2 linked regions of the Kluyveromyces lactis genome follow. The main gene of each other region encodes a partner of the protein of the gene in region 2 in a complex. Links are inferred from orthologs where the notes say so. Each region holds a gene or a part of one and is shown on either strand. Other genes may lie near its edges. The genes, in order: RRN10 and RRN9.

Evidence for each region.
Region 1: RRN9 (region 2) and RRN10 share a complex: the UniProt entries of both Saccharomyces cerevisiae proteins name them as parts of the UAF (upstream activation factor) complex. The link is inferred for Kluyveromyces lactis from reciprocal best matches to the Saccharomyces cerevisiae genes RRN9 and RRN10.

The regions. Positions count from the first base shown.
Region 1 is NC_006042.1:1,161,012-1,171,148, forward strand, and holds RRN10 (Rrn10p), read left to right. Parts: upstream 1-1,727; coding exon 1,728-2,105; downstream 2,106-10,137. Other genes in the region: EMP24 (Emp24p), read left to right, coding at 196-795; NCL1 (tRNA (cytosine-C5-)-methyltransferase), read left to right, coding at 2,355-4,469; MCM DNA helicase complex subunit MCM2, read right to left, coding at 4,699-7,332; KLLA0_F12606g (uncharacterized protein), read left to right, coding at 8,069-9,148; KLLA0_F12628g (NAD-dependent succinate-semialdehyde dehydrogenase), read right to left, coding at 9,385-10,137. UniProt on the Saccharomyces cerevisiae protein: Component of the UAF (upstream activation factor) complex which interacts with the upstream element of the RNA polymerase I promoter and forms a stable preinitiation complex.
Region 2 is NC_006040.1:161,667-172,891, reverse strand, and holds RRN9 (Rrn9p), read right to left. Parts: upstream 6,478-11,225; coding exon 5,239-6,477; downstream 1-5,238. Other genes in the region: TMA23 (Tma23p), read left to right, coding at 1,108-1,656; MDM1 (Mdm1p), read left to right, coding at 1,877-5,263; RNA-binding signal recognition particle subunit SEC65, read left to right, coding at 6,763-7,575; orotate phosphoribosyltransferase URA5, read right to left, coding at 7,688-8,368; KLLA0_D01881g (uncharacterized protein), read left to right, coding at 9,045-10,022; ubiquitin domain-containing protein DSK2, read right to left, coding at 10,149-11,225. UniProt on the Saccharomyces cerevisiae protein: Component of the UAF (upstream activation factor) complex which interacts with the upstream element of the RNA polymerase I promoter and forms a stable preinitiation complex.

The sequences.
Region 1 (10,137 bases), on a different chromosome or scaffold from region 2:
TTCGATCTTTCTATGTGTTATTTTTTTTTTTTTTTGGCAAAAAGTTGAAGTCGTGTTTTATTTGACGATCTGTTACTTACATGACATTTGTATTCACACACTTCATCGAGTTGAGTCCCTTCATCTTTGTTATTGCACTACCCTCAACCGTCTAGTGAAAAACAACTAGTAGCCAGAGAGTCCTTACATATAAGAATGCTATTACAATTTTTGGTGTTACTATTTGCTGGTTTGTGTAACGCACACACGGTACATCTACCAGCGTACGGTCGTCGTTGTTTCTTTGAAAACTTGAACAAAGGTGACGAGCTATCTGTATCTTTCCAATTCGGTGATAGAAACCCTCATGGTACTGAACAATTGACTGGTGATTTCGTTCTATATGGGTCTCAAAGAAGCGAGGTCTTGAAAACTTTGAGAGACGTGTCACATGGTGACGTGTTTGTGAACGCTCCATACACCGGCAAGTTCCAATACTGCTTTTTGAATGAAAACTCGAACATTGACACTAAGGACGTGACTTTCAATGTTTTCGGTGTTATTTATGTCGATTTAGATGATCCAAACACCAGATCTTTGGACGGCTCAGTGAGACAATTGTCCAAACTGGTCAAAGAAGTGAAGAACGAACAAAGTTACATTATTATCAGAGAAAGAACTCACAGAAACACAGCAGAATCCACTAATGACCGTGTCAAATGGTGGTCTGTGTTCCAATTGCTCGTCGTTGTAGTGAATTCGTTGTTCCAGATCTATTACTTGAAGAGATTTTTCGAAGTCACTTCGTATGTGTAAGTAAAACGAAAGGCATGGCTGCATGAAGTATATCAGATATAGTCGTCGTGTATATTCAAAGTAAAAATATGTGTATATGTATATCCAGGTTTTTCCTCTAGCGCATAAGTATATCATATTAGAGGAGTAATCCCTAGGGCTGGAAATTGAATAAAGAAAAACCTTCACGTGATCGCCTCAATCTGCTATCATCTTCTTTTTTCCTCAAATATGTTTAAGAAAGCACCCTGTCGAAGGAGTGTGATGCTTGGATATGTGGCTCCGGTTCGAAACCGCACAGTCACACCGGGTCTCTTTCAAATGGAAGAGGTTTCACAATGGTATCCCAAACAGGCGTGAAATGTCTCGTAGTGGTTATATGCCATTACCCGCTTTTCGTGTCTGGCCGCCCGGTCTACGCGTTCATTTATTTGTGTAACTGCTTTGGACAGCTGGATCTCGGTTCGGTTGTCACGTGGTCGACGTGTCCCACCGTTACAAAATTGTTGCGGGTTATCCTTTGTGGTGGCTCGGTCGCATGAGAAGTCTGCGGTTCGAAGCCCAACTGGTAACGATTTAGCATTTCAACTAATACTTGAAGCTAGTTTAGTGTTTAACGTTGTAGGGGAGTCTCATCCAGCACAACGAACACTGCCCGTGACGAGGTGGTGTGGATTGCACGTCCCGTGGTTAAGCAGTGCGTGTGGGTTCAGAGGCAGACATACACTGTCCTTCATTTTTTTTGGCTGTACTTAGAAGTATGTTATATGGCTAGCGTCGTGCACTGATTCATCATTCAACAAATACTCCAGCGAAGCTGCACTGTTTGTCTAGTTTAAATTTGAACTATCTCACTATGTTAAAAAATTGTGAATTGCACATAACTACAACAACTTCTGTTTCCCCGGTTCATACTATACACAGCCATTTAGCATTCCAAAAGCATACCTCCAATGAACGCAAACGTATATGAAGCAAGCCATAACCTCGTCAAAGGTCCAAATGGATCAATTCTTTCACCGGATGAATGCCTTGGTTTAAGGTTGAACCATATCGTTCCAATCCCATTATTGACTAGAGACGAATTACAAACGAGATTACCCACTATTGATACGAAAGTGGTGCATTACTTTTTGACACAACTCATCTTACAAAGGTACCCGCATCTAGTGAAACGATTCGATGAGACCAGTCTCATCACAATTAGTTGGTTATTGGAGAAATGGATCGAAGATTACTTAGTGCTGCCGGAAACTGGATCCGTGTCTGAAGGGGTTTCTCAACAGATTAGCAAGGATATAAATTACAGATACTCACCAGCTGATATTTAGAGGTAATACTACTTAGTGTGTGTGTTTTACATGCCTTCCATTGTGTACCTGATCCAGTCTCTCTATTTACATACCACGTGACTTGAAAATTTTCCGAGACTTTGAAGAAAAGAAAAAGTGAAAATTAGAATCCGTTGATGATGCGATGAGATGAGCATTGTTTCCTGTCAGATACGGTCTTGTGTGTCTTGCTGTTGGGTTTATTCGGTTCTCTCTTACCAGAACTAGTGCAACATACAAGCAGGAGAAATGGCTAGAAGAAAGAATCAAAAGAAGGGACCAAAAAAGACTTTTGGTACTCGTGATGACTCCAACAACCAAAAGAATTGGACTGAATTAGTGAAGGAAAACGAGAAATGGGAAACTTACTACAAGGATTTAGGTGTAATCCCAGTTGAAGAATGGGACCAGTTTAAGAAGACTTGCCAGTCGCAATTACCTTTAACTTTTAGAATCACTGGTTCTCGTAAACATTCTAAAGAAGTACTACAACTGTTCCAAGAACACCATCTACCCAATTTGACCAACGTTACTTGGGAAAATGAAGTGGTTAAGCCACCAATGGCTTTGCCATGGTACCCGGAACATCTTGGCTGGCAATTAGATGTTTCTAAGAGTGTTATCAGAAAAAATGAACAGTTTGCTCGTATGCAAAGATTCCTTGTTGTTGAAAACGCTGTTGGTAACATTTCCAGACAAGAAGCTGTCTCCATGATTCCACCTATTGTGTTGGATGTTAAGCCTCACCATTATGTTTTGGATATGTGTGCTGCCCCTGGTTCTAAGACTGCACAGTTGATTGAAGCTTTACATGCCGAATCTGATGAACCTTCTGGGTTTGTCATAGCTAACGATGCAGACTATAAGAGATCTCATATGTTGGTGCACCAATTGAAACGTTTGAATTCTGCTAACTTGATGGTCGTTAACCATGATGCTCAATTCTTCCCACGTATCAAAGTGGATTCCACCGAAGGTTCTAAAGGTCCTCAGTTCTTGAAATTCGACAGAGTTTTATGTGACGTTCCATGTTCTGGTGACGGTACTATGAGAAAGAACGTCAACGTTTGGAAGGATTGGAACACTGGATCTGGTCTAGGTTTACACATTGTGCAATTGAATATCTTGGAAAGAGGTCTAAATTTGTTGAAAGAAGGTGGTAAACTTGTATACTCCACTTGTTCTTTGAATCCAATTGAAAACGAAGCAGTTATTGCTGCCGCTTTGAGAAGGTGGGGTGATAAGGTAAGATTGGTCAACTGTGATGATCAATTGCCAGGTTTAGTCAGATCTAAGGGTATCACTGAATGGAAGGTATACGACAAACAATTCCAAGTTAGAGAAAAAGGACATGAAAACTGTTTGGATTCATGGTTCCCACCAACTGCAGAAGAGGTTGAAAAATTCCATTTGGAAAACTGTATGAGAGTGTACCAACATCAACAGAATACAGGTGGGTTCTTTATCACCGTTTTCGAGAAGATCGATACATCAACTGCTGAAACTCCGGTACCAGCTTCTGAAACTGCTGCTGCTGTAGAAGAACAAGCCCAAGAACCTGAACTAAAAAAGGCTAAAATCGATACATCCTCTACTGCCTCTCACATTCAAAAGAAGGAAAAACTACCTCGTGATGCCAATGAAGAACCATTTGTGTTCGTGGATCCAAACCATCCAGCATTAGCCAAATGTTGGGAGTTCTACGGTATTGATGACAAATTTGATAAGTCCACTTGTTTGGTTCGTAACGCTACTGGTGAACCAACTAGAACTATCTACCACGTCGCTACTCCATTGAAACAATTGATTGTAAACAATGAAGATAGACTAAAGATTGTTTACTCCGGTGTAAAACTGTTTGTTTCCCAAAGGTCAGACATTGATTGTGCTTGGAGAATTCAATCCGAATCCTTACCAATCATGAAACAACATATGAACTCTGCCAGAATCGTCCCAGGTAACATGGAAATTCTAAAGAAGTTGTTAACTGAAGCTTTCCCAAGATACGAAGACTTAACAGCGGACAACGTCGATCCAGAATTCATTTCCAAGACTCAAAAACTGAGTGCAGGATGCACTTTCATTAAAGTCGATAGAAATGATCCATCCAAGGAAGATTTGTTTTTACCAGTTTGGAACGGATCAAAATGTATCAACTTGATGGTTTGTAAAGAAGATGTTCACGAATTGTTGTACAGAATTTTCGGCATCGAAACAACCAGCAAACAAAATCCAAAGGCTGATCATATGGCCAAGAAGGCCCAAGAAGCAGCTGACGCATCAGCTAACTCTTCGAAGGAAGAGACTTCTGAGAAAGAAGAAGTACCTGCTGTAACTGTCACTGAAACATCCACGGCTGAATAAGTTTCTTCACTCCACATTATCAGTTATAGACTTCTACATGAAATTATAAAAGCGGTATTCCTTTGAAGGTTGAAGTAATCATTATTTAAGTCTATTAGTTACAAATTTGTATATTATGCTAATATAAGCGATGTAGTACTGCATCTATAATGGAAAAAATGGGAACGGTATATTGTTGTTCTGAGCTTATAGAATTGTTTTCTTCCGTTGGAAATGTTGAATCTTGATTTCACATTGTTCCCATAGTATAAACAGCGAAAGATCTTTGTAGTTGGCGACGTACACTAATCTTTTGTGCACCCACAAAACTGTCCACTGTTACTTTAATTGCTCTGTCTAAATCCCATGAGGAAACGAATTCTGATAATCTCATTTTCGCGAAGGCTTCAGCAATTCTTAAGATAGATTCCAAATGACGAACGGTGATCGGGAATGAACCAGTAGTGACACTCTCTCGTCTCAAATCAGCATAAACCCTACTCACTTTGTCCATATCCATTTGATGTAACTTAGGGTAAACTTTAGTTCTTGCGTAATGAATATACTTCATTAGCATATGCTGAGATATGGGCGAAATTTCTTCTTCTCTTTTACGAAGGTTCTGCAAGCGTCTTTGTTTGGCAGATAACGGAGTTTCTTCATCACCCTCCCCATTAGGATTTTCCGTTGGAACGTTACCATCATCAAAATCATCCAGATCCTTGTCTGGATGAGACCTGATATGTGAATCAACGACGAAAGATGCTAGCCGATTATCACTTTCTTCATCAACCAAATCTCTTACCACGCAGAGGATATCGAATCTTGACAAAATTGGTTCAGTCAAATTGACATTTTGTGATAACGGAAGAGTAGAGTTGTAACGACCACCGATCGGGTTGGCGGCAGCTAAAATAGAGCATCTGGCTTGTAACGTGGTAACGATACCTGCCTTAGAGATGGATATACTTTGCTGTTCCATTGCTTCGTGAATAGAAGTACGATCCTGATCGTTCATCTTATCGAATTCATCAATCAAACAAACACCCTTATCCGCAAGCACTAACGCACCACCTTCAAGAGTCCACTCTTTAGTTATTTGGTCCTTCCTGACAGAAGCTGTCAAACCGACTGCAGAAGCACCTTGACCTGTAGCGAAGACAGCTCTGTTGGCAGTTTTTTCCACGTATTTCAAAATTTGGGACTTGGCAGTACCTGGATCACCGAGAAGTAGAATGTTTATGTCACCACGGATGGAATGCTTACCGTTAATGTTTTTAGGAACACCTCCGAATAAAGAACATGCAATTGCTGTCTTGATATCCCTGTGCCCATAAATAGATGGAGCCATTGATGAAATGATTTTATCGATGATTCCTCTGTCACGAGACATCTTTCTGAATTCACGCTCTTCGTCTTCTGTCCAACTGAAGGCATCCAGCCCTTCGTGTTCATCACCATCATGCAATCCGCCTTCTCTTCTCTTCACTGAATTGGCTTCCAGTACTGTTGCGAAAACGGGGAACCCGTTCTTTGCATTCAAATTACCGTCATATGTGTTCTTATAGATTCCTGTCACTTCGACTTCTTCACCAGGTTTTGCGATATCAACCAAGTCCCACAACAAAATGACTTCTCTGTGACGTGGTAATCTACCGGCTGGAACAGACCCTGGTGATTCTTGGATGGTGATTCTTTGGTAATTACGGTACAGAGTTTTTTCCATATTAATTCTGAAGGGACCCTTAGATCTACAATTTGTGCAGAACGAGATTTTAATTTCTTCATTTGAATCCTGATAGTAAGGCCCAAGTGTGGCACCACATTTCAAACAGTTGAATTTAACGTATTTAAGTTGTGGGAAGACACCAGTTCTTCTTGTCACGACACCACTAACTCTAACTAAAGAATTCAAATGAGTTTCACGTAAAGCACGTAAGTTCAATATACTAGGGAAATCCGAGATTCTTACGTGAATTTCCGAGTGAATACGAGTATAATCGGGATAGTGTAGTTGTGTAGCTTCCATAGCCACTGTATCAAATATTTTCAACATTTCTTCGGGAGATTTGGCTAAAAATAGGGCTAGAATGGCCTTGGATTCTACCAAATGTCTATAATTAACTTCCAAGGATTCAGAGTTCATTTCACCGAGAGTTCTGATACGAGCACCGTAAACGGATTTACCTGACTCATCAGTATATTCAAGCAAAAACGATTTCAACTCTCTGGCAATAGTACGTGATACATTCGGTTGAGTGATCCATTCAGAATAACTTGATGCCTTCACATCTGCCAAAGATTCCAACGAGAGCTCATCTGCCAACGGATCTATATCCATATCTGATAACAAATCATCATCTGCTTCTTCGTATTGACGTCTTCTACGTCTCCTCTGTACTGGAAGACCCATAGCATCCAAATTATGCGCACCAGCTCCTTCGCCATCATCATCATCAAGGTATGCTGTGTTCCTATGCACCAAACGATCTCTCTCGTTCAATTGTGCATCGATTCTTCTACGCTCAGCGAGCGACAACTCTTGCTGCTCCTGGTCGTCGACTCCTCTTCTTTCATACGTATCATGTTCTGTGTTTGAAGCGTAATCACGGTACATATCATCACCCATCAAATCGACTTCATTCATTCTTTCTTCCACATCTTCAAGATCCTCTTGAACATTGACAGCTTCATCTCCATCGTTATCTGGATTCTCAAAATCTATCTCATCTGGAGATCCAAGCGGGTCTTCAAACTGTGGAGAACTAGGGATGTTAGCGCCACCTTCACGGGGTTGTGTAGACAAAGAATCATCCTCATCCTCATCATCATCAGCTCTTCTTCTTCTCCTCCTTCCGTTATTTATTTCATCATTATCAGACATCTTGAAACACTTTCAAAAACAGCAATTAATAATCTTCAATTATCGCACTACCAAATCCGATCACACAATTGTCTTCCTGATGCTTCGATGACCTACTTGTTACACTTTGTTTCAGACCATTGGGATCTAAAGCTATCTTAAGATCTTAACGTTTTTTCCGGCTTTTTTCTTCAGTTGAATGTACGAAAATGATCTTTAATTGAAACAATAACATTTCCTAAAATGGTGTTTTGCAACGATCTGACCATTGTAGAGCGTTGGGGCTAATAATACAGCAATGGCAATATTCCAATAACACCAATCGGTAGTTCTCACCTCTTTTAGCTTTGCAATCTACATTTGATTAGTATAATTTCTTTATTATGATGCGTGGATCACGTGATAATCACATGGGATCATACGCTTAAAAACCGTACTTATAGCTCCAATCACACGATGAAGCAACACAATTGCAGGTAAAGTATGGATGTTGAAGCTCTGGAATGATGTGATGCATTTTGTGCCCCATATTAGATCGATTTCCATCCGGTAACCGTCCAAATGTGTCGATATTGACGTAAAATCATACGGAATATTGATTCATCGACATGGAAAATCTCTTACTATCAATGAAATATCCCCAAATTTAAACATAAGGAACACGTCAAGTTAAAGGCAAAAAGGGTACCTTCATTCACGCATTTCTTACTACAAGGTGAGTTCTGGCACTTAAAGATAGTCTTGTTGGTGTTAGGGAATGAGCGAGATTAGCGTTAAAGAATATGTGAAGCGACAGGAGGAACTGGAAGATGAAGCAAATAAACTGATGCCATATGATCCAAGCCATTGCACTTATTCCATGGGCCCAATTCGACAGCCAATATTCGCATGTCGTACTTGCAACAGTATAGGAGTGTGCTATTCATGCTCTATTCAGTGTCACAGTACCTGTGACTTGGTGGAACTTTTCGATAAGAGGAATTTCAGTTGCGATTGCGGTACAGAAAGGCAGTTTGAACACGGTGAGAAGTTCACACCTTGTAATATAAGAAAGAATACTACACCAGATATACCAGACATGAGTAACAGGTATGGCCAGAATTTCAAAGGGTTATTTTGCTCTTGCCATAGAGAGTATGACCCGAATACAACGACAACGATGTTACAATGCGTCCTTGGCTTGGAGTGCAATGAGGACTGGTTTCATGATCACTGCATTCTAGGGATAGAAGAAAACCCAGACCCGGTTACAGAAGACAGAAAGCTACCAGGATTCCCTGAACTGTCAAGTTTCGAAGGATTTATCTCATGGGTTTGTATTGACAAGTACAGCTCGATATTTGAAAAGCTTTTATCACACGAAGCGTGTGATAAAATCATAGCACATAAAGTGTACAGGAGAGATCTGGTATCGGATCAGAACTCCGAGGGAATGACATTGGAAAGTACCAAGAAAAGAGGGCTAGAAGAAATGGAAAACTCTTCGGGTTCATATTCATTATTCTTGAAAGAAGGATATAGGGAAGAATTTAAACGATTAAGGGATTCACTTCCAGAAGGTGACTCCTTGAAAAGCTTTTTCATGCACACAGCACCATTCCTCACTTGTGAAGAGAAAGTTTATGAACCCCCGGAGGAACAAGAGCAAGGATCTCTTGTAGAAATGGGAGAAACGGCCCTAGCTCAAAACTTGTCTCATCAGCAAACTCTAGCCAGTCTAGTCGCTTTCCAGCAAATAAAATCAAAACTAACAGATTTCCTACGACCATTTGCGGAAAACGATAAGGTCGTTAGTGAATCTGATATCAAGCAGTTTTTTGATACTCAGAAAAAATGAACTCTTGTTACGACATTTAATCATCATAAACTTTAAATGTGGATATGTTATATACATTGCTACATTTAGAAGAATTTATTGTCAATAAGAGGGATATCTCGAGCTTCTACTCTAAACTTTTCATTTACACATGTATGTATTCAAAAAGGTGTTAGTTTTATATAACATATGAGATAACTTGCATATCCGAATAGACTTCATTTTAGTAGATATAAGAGTTTTTCAAAGTGAATTGTCTATGGTGCCACAATGATGGCCTTCAATTCAGTGTAATCATCGATACCATACTTAGAACCTTCTTTACCTAAACCTGAATTCTTAACACCACCGAAAGGTACTGCAGGTTCACTGATTTCTCCAGTGTTGACACCAACCATACCAACATTTAGTTTCTCTGCGGCATCAAAAATGGTGCTAATATTTTGACTGTAGAAGTAGCCTGCTAAACCGACATCCGTGTCATTAGCACGTTTGATGACTTCATCCACATCCTTAAACTTAATTAATGGAGCAACAGGTCCAAAGATTTCTTCATAAAATATATCCATGGACTCGGTTACATTACCAAGTACTGTTGGTTGGTAGAATAATGGACCTAAAGAACTAGCTCTTGAGCCACCTATCAAGACGTCTGCTCCCTTCGTTTTTGCATCCTGAACTAAAGATGCGACTTTGTCAATGGATTTGTCATGGATCAATGGACCGTGAGTGACACCGTCTTGGAACCCATCGCCTAATTTAAAGGTTTTGTCGATCTTATCAACCAACCTCTTACTGAATTCATCGTAAAGATCTTCATGCACAAAGATTCTGTTTGCACAGATACAAGTTTGTCCGGATTGTCTGAATTTACATCCGATTATTCCATCTAAGGCACGGTCTAAGTCAGCGTCCTTGAAGACGATATATGGTGCATTACCCCCCAATTCCATAGAGAATTTCTTGATATTCTTTCCCTTGCTTGATTGTCCCATTAACAATTGACCGAT
Region 2 (11,225 bases):
TAATGAAATAATAATGACCACACACACATGCGAGAATGTTCAAAACGTCTAAAATGTTCTCAGGGCACACGAGCACACATACACCGCCAGAGTTGGAATTTTTCTCCGTCATTACACACAAATCGTGGCACCATGACACATGACACAAGATCGTAAAGACGCAGGTTTCCTAGTGTCTAGCCCTAGGCCCCATTCCGAATCGCCCAGGATCGCTGTCGATGACACTCGAGTCCTCTGGAGTCTTTCTCTGAGGTCTCTTTCTCAGTAGGTCGGAATGAGCCACGCCATTGTCCACACCGTGGGAAGGTGAAAAAAAAAATTTTTCACCATTTTGCTCATCGCAACAGCGAAACGAAAGGAAGCGAAAGGAACGGTGTTAGCATCACATACGCACGTTTGTCAGTGTATTTTTAGCAAGTCTTCGCCCGTTCTCGTTGTTTACTGATTTAAAACGGTTTTCTACACGTTTTTGTTCGGACCGGGCATCGATCCAGCCAGCCCTGTTTGCTAAAATTGGGGATTTATAATCACTCAAGGTGCCATATGCTCGTTGAGTGATTATTTAAACACAGGTCACGTGCCGGAGATCTTGATGTACATGGTTTAGAGTTTAGAGTTTAGAGTTTAAAGCCCACTCAGAATACACACACGCCGTGTCTATCTGTGGAGTTGTGTGTTTTGAATACCAATTAATTAGAGGTTTCTTGGGGTTTTGTGGTTTTGTCTCAGGCGGAGCATGAAACGTACACGTTTCATGGCCTCAACTCATGGAGCCAGCCACGGTGTAGCCCCATGTGTTAAGTAATTTTAGATCCTCCATAGAGTAAGTCTTGGCAGTGTGGTGACAACCTTAAATGACACAGGAAAAGAAGAAAAACCGTGGCACGTGATGCTATTGCTCCGGGTAATGATGAAGACTGTGTTCACGTGACCACAATCGAAATGTTTCTCTTTGAAAAGAAATTCTTCAACTCGCGATGAGATGAGATGAGAAGATGATATACAGCAATTAAAGTGACATTGACATTGGTAAGATTACCGATCTGTTTGCTGATCTACCATTGTGAATCCCCGATAATTATACCTCAGTTCCACCATATATTACCCATGGACAGTAAAGGGTACCTTAAATCGTATGGCTGGCAAGAAGGTGAGGCCTTACGGAACGGAGGACTGAAAAAACCGATTCTTGTGAAACACAAGAAAGATAAGAAAGGGCTTGGATGTGCACCAGGACATGATGACAGTGAAGCCTGGTGGGAACGTTTGTTCGACGGACAACTTCGAAACTTGGACATCAAAAGCGGGTCCGATGGGATCTCGTTCAAACAAAACGAAGTCGTCGCTTCTTCCATATCAAAGAGCGATTCACCACTTTATCGATCATTTGTTAGAGGTGAAGTGTTGAAAGGTACCATTAAAACAGATCTGCCGTCCAACAATGGATCTACTATAGTTAAACTGGCTGTTTCTGAAGTGACATCGAAGAAAGATAAAAAGAGCAAAGACGAGAAGAAGAAGAAGAAGAAGAAGAAGTCGCATAAGGTTGACAAGCCAAAGAGTAAGCATAAGAAAGACAAGAAGGATAAGCATAGGAAAGACAAGAAGGATAAGAAGGATAAGAAGGGTACACACAAGCGTAAAAGTTCACATTGATGTTCTCTTTATTTTCTTCTTGCAGCATCATCCCTCCATTGTACGTACATGTTGTATATAAAAATTCTCGTTAGATAGACGATTTAAACGCATTTAGTTCATTTCAAGGTTTTCAACAAATAGTGTAAACAAGCTAAATTATTCCACTGTCGAAAAGATACTGCCCAAGACGCGGCTTAACAGCATTCCATTGGCAGCAGTCCATATATTGAATTTCTAAATGCCCAGTTTCAAGTGGCATGTTTTGTTCGTGGTTCCCTTCTTCTTGGGGTGGGGGGAGTGTTTGTTTGTCCTATCGGTTGCGTCTCTTTTGTCAATCATTTGGATATATCTTGCATTAAATGAACAACCTCGGGTGCTCCCAACAAAACCAACGCTAAGGTTCACAGGTGATAAACCTATTACCAAAACTTCAGATGATGATAATTTTGCCGGTCAAGAAGCCTTGTTCCCCAATAACGAAGCATTATCAAAAGAAATTGATATCTTACTCAATAACATCATCAGCAATTTCATTTTATCCTGGTTTGGATCAATCAGTGAATCAGACAAATTTCCCAATACTGTGAAATCGGTGTTAAAAGAGGCCATAATACGATTTTCGATTGCTCTCTCAGATGTTGACCTTTGTGAGTTGATGATTTTAAGAATACTACCTTTATTGACGAAACATTACACTACCTTCTATATATCTCAAGAGAGCATCACAAGTAGCGTTGCTATAGACAAACCTGAACAAAATGTGGATTTAGCTGTAGCAGTGGAATTCAATAAGCAGTACCGTATCCATAAGGATCTATCTCTCACTTTGAGTCAGGAAAGTCTTTCTGAGGATGTACAAAATTATTCCCGGAAAAGAGCTAAAGAGTTGCTATCGATTCTTGTTGATCCCAAGGAGTTAGAATCACCTTTTGTCAGGACAATTCTAAGAGAAGTTGTGGCGTGTTCGGTTCTTCAGCCACTCGTTTCAAGGATTGCGACTCCAGATTTCTGGAACACTAAATTGATCGATATTTGTTCTCAAGTCTTAAAGGAAAGGTCCCAAGTCACCGAGCTCCGAGCTGTACTATCTAAAACGATTGAAGCTGATGATGAAAATTGTCTGGATAATGAAAGTCTTGCGAAAAGTGGTACTATTGATGTAACGAATGTTCATGGAACAGATGATGATTACGAATGTTTCTTAAAGCAGTTGAGTTGTCTCACGGAAGTCAGCCAATTAAATATCCTCAAGGTTAAGTTATGGATTGATGCACTACAAATACGATGCGTACCGAATGAAGGAGAAGTATCCTCAAAGTCTTTTCAAAAAAAGCACGCTTTGTTTAATAAGAGGATTGAATTGGCATTGAATCTAATATACAGCAAGCTTGCATATCTAAGCCCAAATGACCCACAGAGTAACCAGGCACACGATAATCTAGAGCAGCAATTACAATCCTTTGAGAAGTTTGTGGAAACGGTCACTGTTCAAGATGTGCTTACGAATGTTTCCTCTTTGAAGTTCTTTTCGGCATTCCTTGAACCACAAACAGATCAATCAGGAATAATTGCTTTACAGCTGTGGTCCTTTATCGAAAGGAAACGGAATCCGTTAGAAGATATATCTAATGATGAGATACAAATTGATACTTCCAAAAATGGCAATAAACATTTAAGAGAACTTGAGCAACAATTTTTCAGCTCTCCTATTTCTCGAGCACACATTGAGGAATTGGATTCTAATAGCGTCAAAACGATTATTGATTTTTTGAAGGAAAGGGATGATACTCCTTCCGTAACAGAGTCACAGTTTGACAAATCAGTAGAGGCTCGTAGATGCATGTTGTTGTTACAGAAATCGGCTCTTAAAATATTAGCCGAAAAATGGTACCCTATATTCAAAGACTCTGATAATTTTTATCAGATGTTGGCTGATAGCGATTTTATAAAGGCTCATAATATAGCCACTCAAGCGTCAAATACTTTGAACAATGATTTTCCAACGGACACCGTGAGGGTAATCACACATGGTAATTTAGGCAAAGCGTTAGATGACATTTTAAACAATAACGATGTGAGCACCACCGATGCTATTTCAAGTTTGAAAACTCCTAAGAAATCGTACTCTAATATTTTCGGTGCGCGAGAGAAATCTTTGTTCGATGATGAACTATTTGGAGATACCTCCGTACAAGAGGACGAAGAAACCTCTGAATTGAACTCGGTATCGTTTTACCCTTATTCGATTGCAAACAGTAGTCTAGAAAGCTTGAACGGATCAAGCAAGCAGGAAAATGGCAGTTATAATGATACGTCTATCTTGAATTCTTTAAATTTGAAGGAGGAAATAGGTAATTTGGTTTTATCAATTGATACACTTAAAAAGCAGCTGGAGCTTCTACATCATTTGATATTGAAGGCGGAGCTAACTAATAATCAAACGAGACTGATATTGTTGAAGAAATCGGAAAGAACACTTAGAAGAGAACTGGAATACAAAGAATTGCTTAAACAACAGCATATGGTTCATGAGAACGCTAATATTTTATATGGCAGGGCAAAACTTTGTATTAAATCTTATTTGACTGATGTGTCTCTTGAAGATGGTAAAGAAACTGTTTACTATTTGATAAATGTACAGCATATCTTCAACAACCAGTTAGTTACGTGGGATATACCTCGAAGATTCAGCGAATTCTACAGGTTGAACTCCTACTTGAAGAAGAAGTATCCGGGGGTGGTAAGCTATTTGCAAAATTCTAATGGCTTCCCGGAGAGAGTAAAAATGTCATTAAAGTATCATGTATCGAAAACATTATTGTATGAAGAAAGAAGAAAAAGACTCGAATACTACATGCAGGAATTGTTAAAAATACGTGAGGTTTGTCAAGATGAATACTTTAGAAAATATTTGACGGATGTTTCCAACACTTTTAAGGTTAAAGAGAATTTGGAAGAAGATGTTGAGGATAAGAGAAGATCAATGGTTCTTTTAAAGACGGACAACACCGTTGGAGAAGTTACAAATGTATCAGCAGGGAGATTTGATGATCCCAAAAGTTTCTCAGATGAATTAGATTTCTTTGAGGACGAGAGAAATTTCCATTCGGGAGCAAATGGTAGCAACAATACAGGAACCTTAGTGAAACCCATATGTGAGTTGTTCATTTCTTTTTTTGCTCTAAACCAGTCCAATACCGGTTGGCTAAGAGGAAGGGCTATCATAGTTGTATTACAAAGATTATTGGGTAGCACTATTGAGAAATATATCAAAGATGTTATACAACGAATCAGATCACCAGAGAAAGTAACACTCCTTATCTCTAAACTTAATTCCATACTTTGGGTAGATGATATATTCTTCAAGAGCAGCAGCATTCCACAGCCATCAGCCAGGACCGAAGGTGAAATTATCCGAACCAGTACAGAATCGCAGGCGATGCTTGAAAGGTTTATGGTAGAGACTTGCGGGAAAGTGGTCGGCACAATGTATGCGAGCAATGCAGGATATAGATTACATTCAATGCTACAGAACGAGTATTTAAATGTTAGTTTGATGCTCGAGATTATGGATGTCATGTTTGATGAGATTAAACGAATTCAATCCAAGTCTCCAGGTCCATAATCCGAGTCAATATTTAGTGAAACTATATTTTTATTGTTGTTCTTATCTCTCTTCTTGATTCTTCTTCGAGGTTTGTTGGATTGCTCACTCGAGTTTTGGTGATTCAAGACCGTGAAGAACATTTTCTTGTCCCTCGCAAACTCATCCTTCCTAAGTAGGAGCCTTGTCTCTCTTCTCACTACAGGATCATTATTACGATCCTTGATAATTCGTTTCATATCAACGAACGATTTCACGTCTTTCTTACCACTGTTTTCTTTCTTCTTAATGTTCTCTTCGAGCTTTGTATGATCTTGTGGATCATCATCTGATTGTTCCGAGTCCGAGTTGCCCAGGTTCACCTGAGAGAACCTGTCCAAGTATGCATCCGGGAGTACAAACTGCGATTTGTCCATAGTCTTCGGCAGATCTTGAAATAAATCAATGGCCCGCAAATATTGTCGAGACATATCTTCCCCAGTCTCACAGCCGTGCACAATTATGTCCTTGTAATCGTACTTTTCTTTACTTCTGGTCGTCACTGCTTCAGTATTGCCTATGGTGGTACTCTTTAATTTGATCTCAGGCTCACTAGGAATTGTCGATAACGTGACAGTGTTGGTCTCAGCTGCATCCAAATGCAAAGATCCAATAAACCTATCCACCTTGAACAGTAGGTTTTGAAATATATCATCTGGTAAATCCATTTCGTTGACGTCCAGCGCCGTATCATTTACGCCAAGTATCTCACTGTCATTTTCATCGACAATTGTATTTGGATCCTCAATCTGACCCTCATCGGCGGTCTTATTTTCAGTTTGTTGGCCCATTACCGAACTCTCTTTGAGTTTCTGCTGCCAGAACGCATTGAGTTCTCCATATAACATCTCTGTCGCATGGTTCAACGATGACTGGTCCAATTGACCCGGTTGTACCCCTTTCCTATGAATACCGCCTATATTTTCAGAGGCGAGACACCCTGCTTGATCTTCATATATATCGGATGTATTGGGGTCGATTATTGAATTTCTGCTCGGCCACGCGGTCCAATCTTCTTTCAAGACGGTCTTCACAAACGTCTCGGTACGTAATATGTTCTTCTCATCCTTATTCGCTCTATACAATAAGTGTTTCAATAGATGCGCAGAGTATAAATGTACTGAAAGATCATTCCTTTGTTCTTGATCTAGCGTTGCTAACAGATCTATGGCATCACGGGCCAGTTGTGAGTCCATTTTACCGAAACAAAACCGAATAAAAAGGGACCGGTACAATGTTAGCTACCCACTTGAAGTCCAGCGGCTACAATTGCTATGAACTCAATCATTAGTAGCTGTTTGGATTCATGTTAGTTGATCCTCTTTAGTTCTCTATCCCTACTAAACCTTTAAATTCAATTGAAAATTTTTGATGAGCTTTAAACAGTGGATAAGAACGACCACTTCAAAGAGTTGGAAACAAAGCAGCATCAACCAAGCAATAGTTAAGGCTACAGTATTTGTTAGGGATATTTACACACAATGCCTGTGATTGAAGAGATCGATGATATCGATGATATCGATAATTTAGAGATGGATCTCGCAGAATTGGACTCCACGATGAAGACACCAGTGGCACCAAAGATCGTACCCACTGTGGTTAGATCGCAAGATCAAGAAGAAGAAGCATATTCTGCTGCAATTTCTGGTAATGCAGGCAGCGGTAGTGGGTTCAATTTTGTTAATAGCACCACCGGTCAAGTGGAAAAGAGTCATTCTTTGACTAAAGAAGAGCTGGATGAGATCAAAGAATTCCAGATGTTGTATCCATGTTATTTCGACACTAGAAGGACGCATGCCCAAGGGAGACGTGCTCCAAAAGATCTTTGTGTGGAGAACCCATTGGCCAAGACGATAGCAGATGCTGCCAGATCGCTTGGAATTCCATCAATATTCGAAGGATCAAAGACACATCCACAAGATTTTGGTAATCCGGGAAGAGTACGTGTGTTGATCAAGGAAAATGGAAAACCATTTGTGAGTGGAATCGATAACAAGCGAGTATTGATGAAGCGTATTGGAGAGTACTTGAAGAGCCATCCTACAACACTTGAGAGTGTAAAACAGCTTCCATATGGACCAGATTTTGATAACGTAGAACCGAAGAAGATTCCTTTATTGAAGGGAACAGCAATGAATGACATCGTGCCATTGCATAGTCCATACTTGACACAGCATCCAATGACAAAATCGCTATATGATGCTCCTCCACCTCCGCCTCCCGCGCAGCAGGTATCTGCACCAGAGAAACAAATGAAGATGCCAAAGAACAAGTTCCGTGTAGTAAGACGTTAATGGAATACTTCTGTCATTTTTATCACCAAATATCTAAACAAGAAGCGGCGTTTCCCAGTGTCTGTTTTAAATATGTATAATTATATATGTTAAGATAGATTCGAGGGTGATATTATGCAGATGCACCATAAGTTTGACGGTATTGTTCCATCTTTTCCCTTTCTTCCACAGAGATTCTGCCATCCAAGTAGCTGATAATGTTTGACAGGTTGACAATACTTAAAACTGGGATGTCATATCTCTTAGAAACAGATTGAGTAGCACTTAGAACTTCGGTGTCTTCGGTGTTAACCACCTCTTGTCTGTCTAATGCGATAATGGATCCAACAACTTTGCCTTCTTCCTTGGCAATGATCTCAAACGCTTCGTTGATTGCAGTTCCTGCAGTCATGACATCGTCGATGATCAAGATTTTTTGGTCCTTTAGTGCAGCACCAACGATATTACCACCTTCACCATGGTCCTTGGCTTCCTTTCTGTTGAAGGCATACTTCACATCTTGGAATTTCGAACCACCGATTTCAGCTAACTTCACACAAACGATCGATGCTAATGGAATACCTTTGTAAGCGGGACCGAAGATGACATCGAACTTCAATTCAGATTGGATAATGGCAATTGCATAAGCAGTGGCTAAGTTTGAAAGCAACTTACCGGTGTTGAAGAGTCCTAAATTGAAGAAGTATGGTGATACTCTACCGGATTTCAAAGTAAATTCACCGAATCTTAAAGCTTTTGACTCAATGGCCAGTTCTAAAAAGTTCTTTTGATAATCTTCCAATGCTGTTGGCATCTTTGAACAGGTGATTAATGGCGGATATAGTAATACGGTAATGCCTCGCAGGGGTCGTTTATACCAGGGATTTCTCAACAATAACCTAGTGGTACTGCTTTAAAAGAGAAAGAGAGGATTGGTCCTTCTATTAGATAGAAAATCAGCAAAATTAATGCGAGAAAAGGGATATTAAACGCTTTCTGCAAACAGAATCCTGTATTTACACCCACCGAACGTCACTGCGATGCTCTGATAGCTCGGGTTCACATGTATCTTCCTGATCCTGTTGAAGACCTGCCGAAATTTTAGTTGAAAAGTTGATGAAATTTCGATGACCGAAAGCAGTTTGATATGCGGTGTACGGGTGCGCTGATGCTACAGAATAATTACCGTAAACCATTCCACAAGCGCCCAATGTTTGATCTTGAACTAATCGTAGGTGTGGTCAACCTGCTTTATGTTATGCTACGGCTATTGGTTCGATATCGGGCCTGTGGCTAATGTTATATCCCAGTTTATCCTGTTTTCCAACTTCTTCATCTGATCCTGATAAGGCAAAATCAATTTGATAATCGCGGGTTTCTAAATTGAATTAGACTGGTGCACTGGAGGGAACATACAGGATAAAAAGCTTGCTCTCTGTAAAACTGGAAAGAAGTCTTGGATAATCGGTGCTGGAATAATACTGTGTATCATGGATACCAAATTGAAAGAAAGAGTAGACCAATTAAGTCGGTATTTGGACGGTGAAGATCGAATAAAAGTCGATAAGTACATGACACGATGGATTGAGAAGATGTCAAGAGCATCTTCACGGGTCAACAAATACCGGTACAAAACTAGAACCGTACGATTAGATAGTGCCAAATTTTCTGTGGCTCCTTATGAGCGGGTTCTTGATACTTTGGGTGAATCTTATAAAGGCATAGACGTTTTCAATAGAGATGAGTTTCATAGGGCGTTAGAACGAATGGTACAGACGACTAAGACAGAGGCGATATTTTGGGACTCGCAATATGTGAATCCCATCACTATCTTGGCTCACGGGCTTCGCATTGAGTTTTGTGATGGGTCTGTTGTAACACTGAAGTGTGATAGTTGCAAAGAAACATTGTCATTAGACCTTTGCGATTCGGAGTTCAACCAGCAGTATGCATCACATTTGTTAACAATGCACAAATCCGTTTGTTTTTGGCATACTAGCAGTGTTCCGTTGGACATTGTATACTATGTGAATAAGAGCAGTGTCATTTATGAGATTGAGAGGATTAAGATCCAATGGGCGCGGTATTCTGGGTTATCTGATAGATTTAAGTCATGGCAGCTGGGGTTTCCGCTCCCAGAGAAGATCAAACTGCTTTGTGGATGGTTTGGATATCAATCTTTACAAAGTTCGGATATTGCTCTTTTGTATGTGCTACTTAGAGGATACGCTCCCGTTGATGGTCAATCTGAAACAGATTTTGGGATCTTACAATGTGTTGGATCGTACTTAACAGTTGATGTGAAGCAAGTGCTGTGTAATTCCGATTTCAACGGACATCCTAAATGGAGTTCACATTATGATCAGGATACTATTCTCGACTTACTCTATGATACTCTGATCGAGATCCCTGATGAGTCAATGCAAGGCAGAATCTCACGGTTGAAAAGGATTATCACTAAATGGTGATGCCGAAGGCTTTAAATATACAAATAGTACATAACTGAGATGATGATAGATATACAATTGCATACGAAGCGATATGGGTCACATCAGGAGCAAAGGCCTAGAGGGGAGTGGATACAAAGGAAACCATTACACGTCGCCGTTCAACAATGCGTCAAGAGCACCCTGGACAGATCCTCCGGCACGTCTTAGAGCAGCAACATTTCTATCGAAATCAAAGAATCCCATATCGTTTAGTTGTCTGAGTTGAGACTCGTAACGTTCTTCCGGTGGTCTGTTATCTACAGCTGGAGCAGCACCGGTGGCGTTGGAGTTCCCACCGAACATACTAGCTAAAAGCTCTTGGTTGAACTGAGGTTGTTGACCACCTGGGAATAATCCAGCGAAGGGATTAGCTGCTGCGGCATTTCCTGGAGTCGCACCGAATAAACCTGCAAATGGGTTAGCTTGGCCTGTTGAAGATGCTGCAGCACCTGTTGCTGCACTATCGGCATCATTTGTACTAGTTTCATTAGCCCCACCAGCCCCACTAGCACTACCTGGCGCAGGAAATGCAGAAGCGGCACCATCTGGAGACATACCCATCGAGTTGGCCATTTGCATTGACTGTCTAATCATCTGAGGGTCTGTCATCATTTGTCTAAAGAAGGGGCTCTGTAACATATCTCTTGCTCTCGGACCCAAAGCCTGTAATTGGGGGTTCTGTTGGATCAAGAAGTCGACCATTTGTGGATTACTCAACATTTCATTCATTTGAGATTGGAAGATGGGGTTCTCTAACATTTGTAGCATGGATTCGGGATTGGCGCCGTTACTGCTGTTCAGGCCACCGTCTGGACCAAACATATCAGCTGAGGGCAAATTGGCGAGACCTGCATAACGGGCACCAGTCAAATCAGCCAATGGGTTAAATCCACCAGTCTGACCAGCAGAAATGTTGGAAGGAGCTGCTGAGTTAGTTGCAGCTGGTGATGCTGCACTGCCAGTTGTTGTACTGCCGGTTGTCGCAGCGGATGCACCACCAGACTTCACCATATGCACAGAATGGCCATCCTGGATTTTGTAAGATTCAACGGTCTCTGTATCTTTCAAAATCTTCCCGGAATAAATCAAACGCTGGTTATCGGCAGGAACACCACTTACACCACTGATAGTCTCCTTAAATGCACGAATTGTAGCAGCACTTTCGATTTCAACCGTCCAATT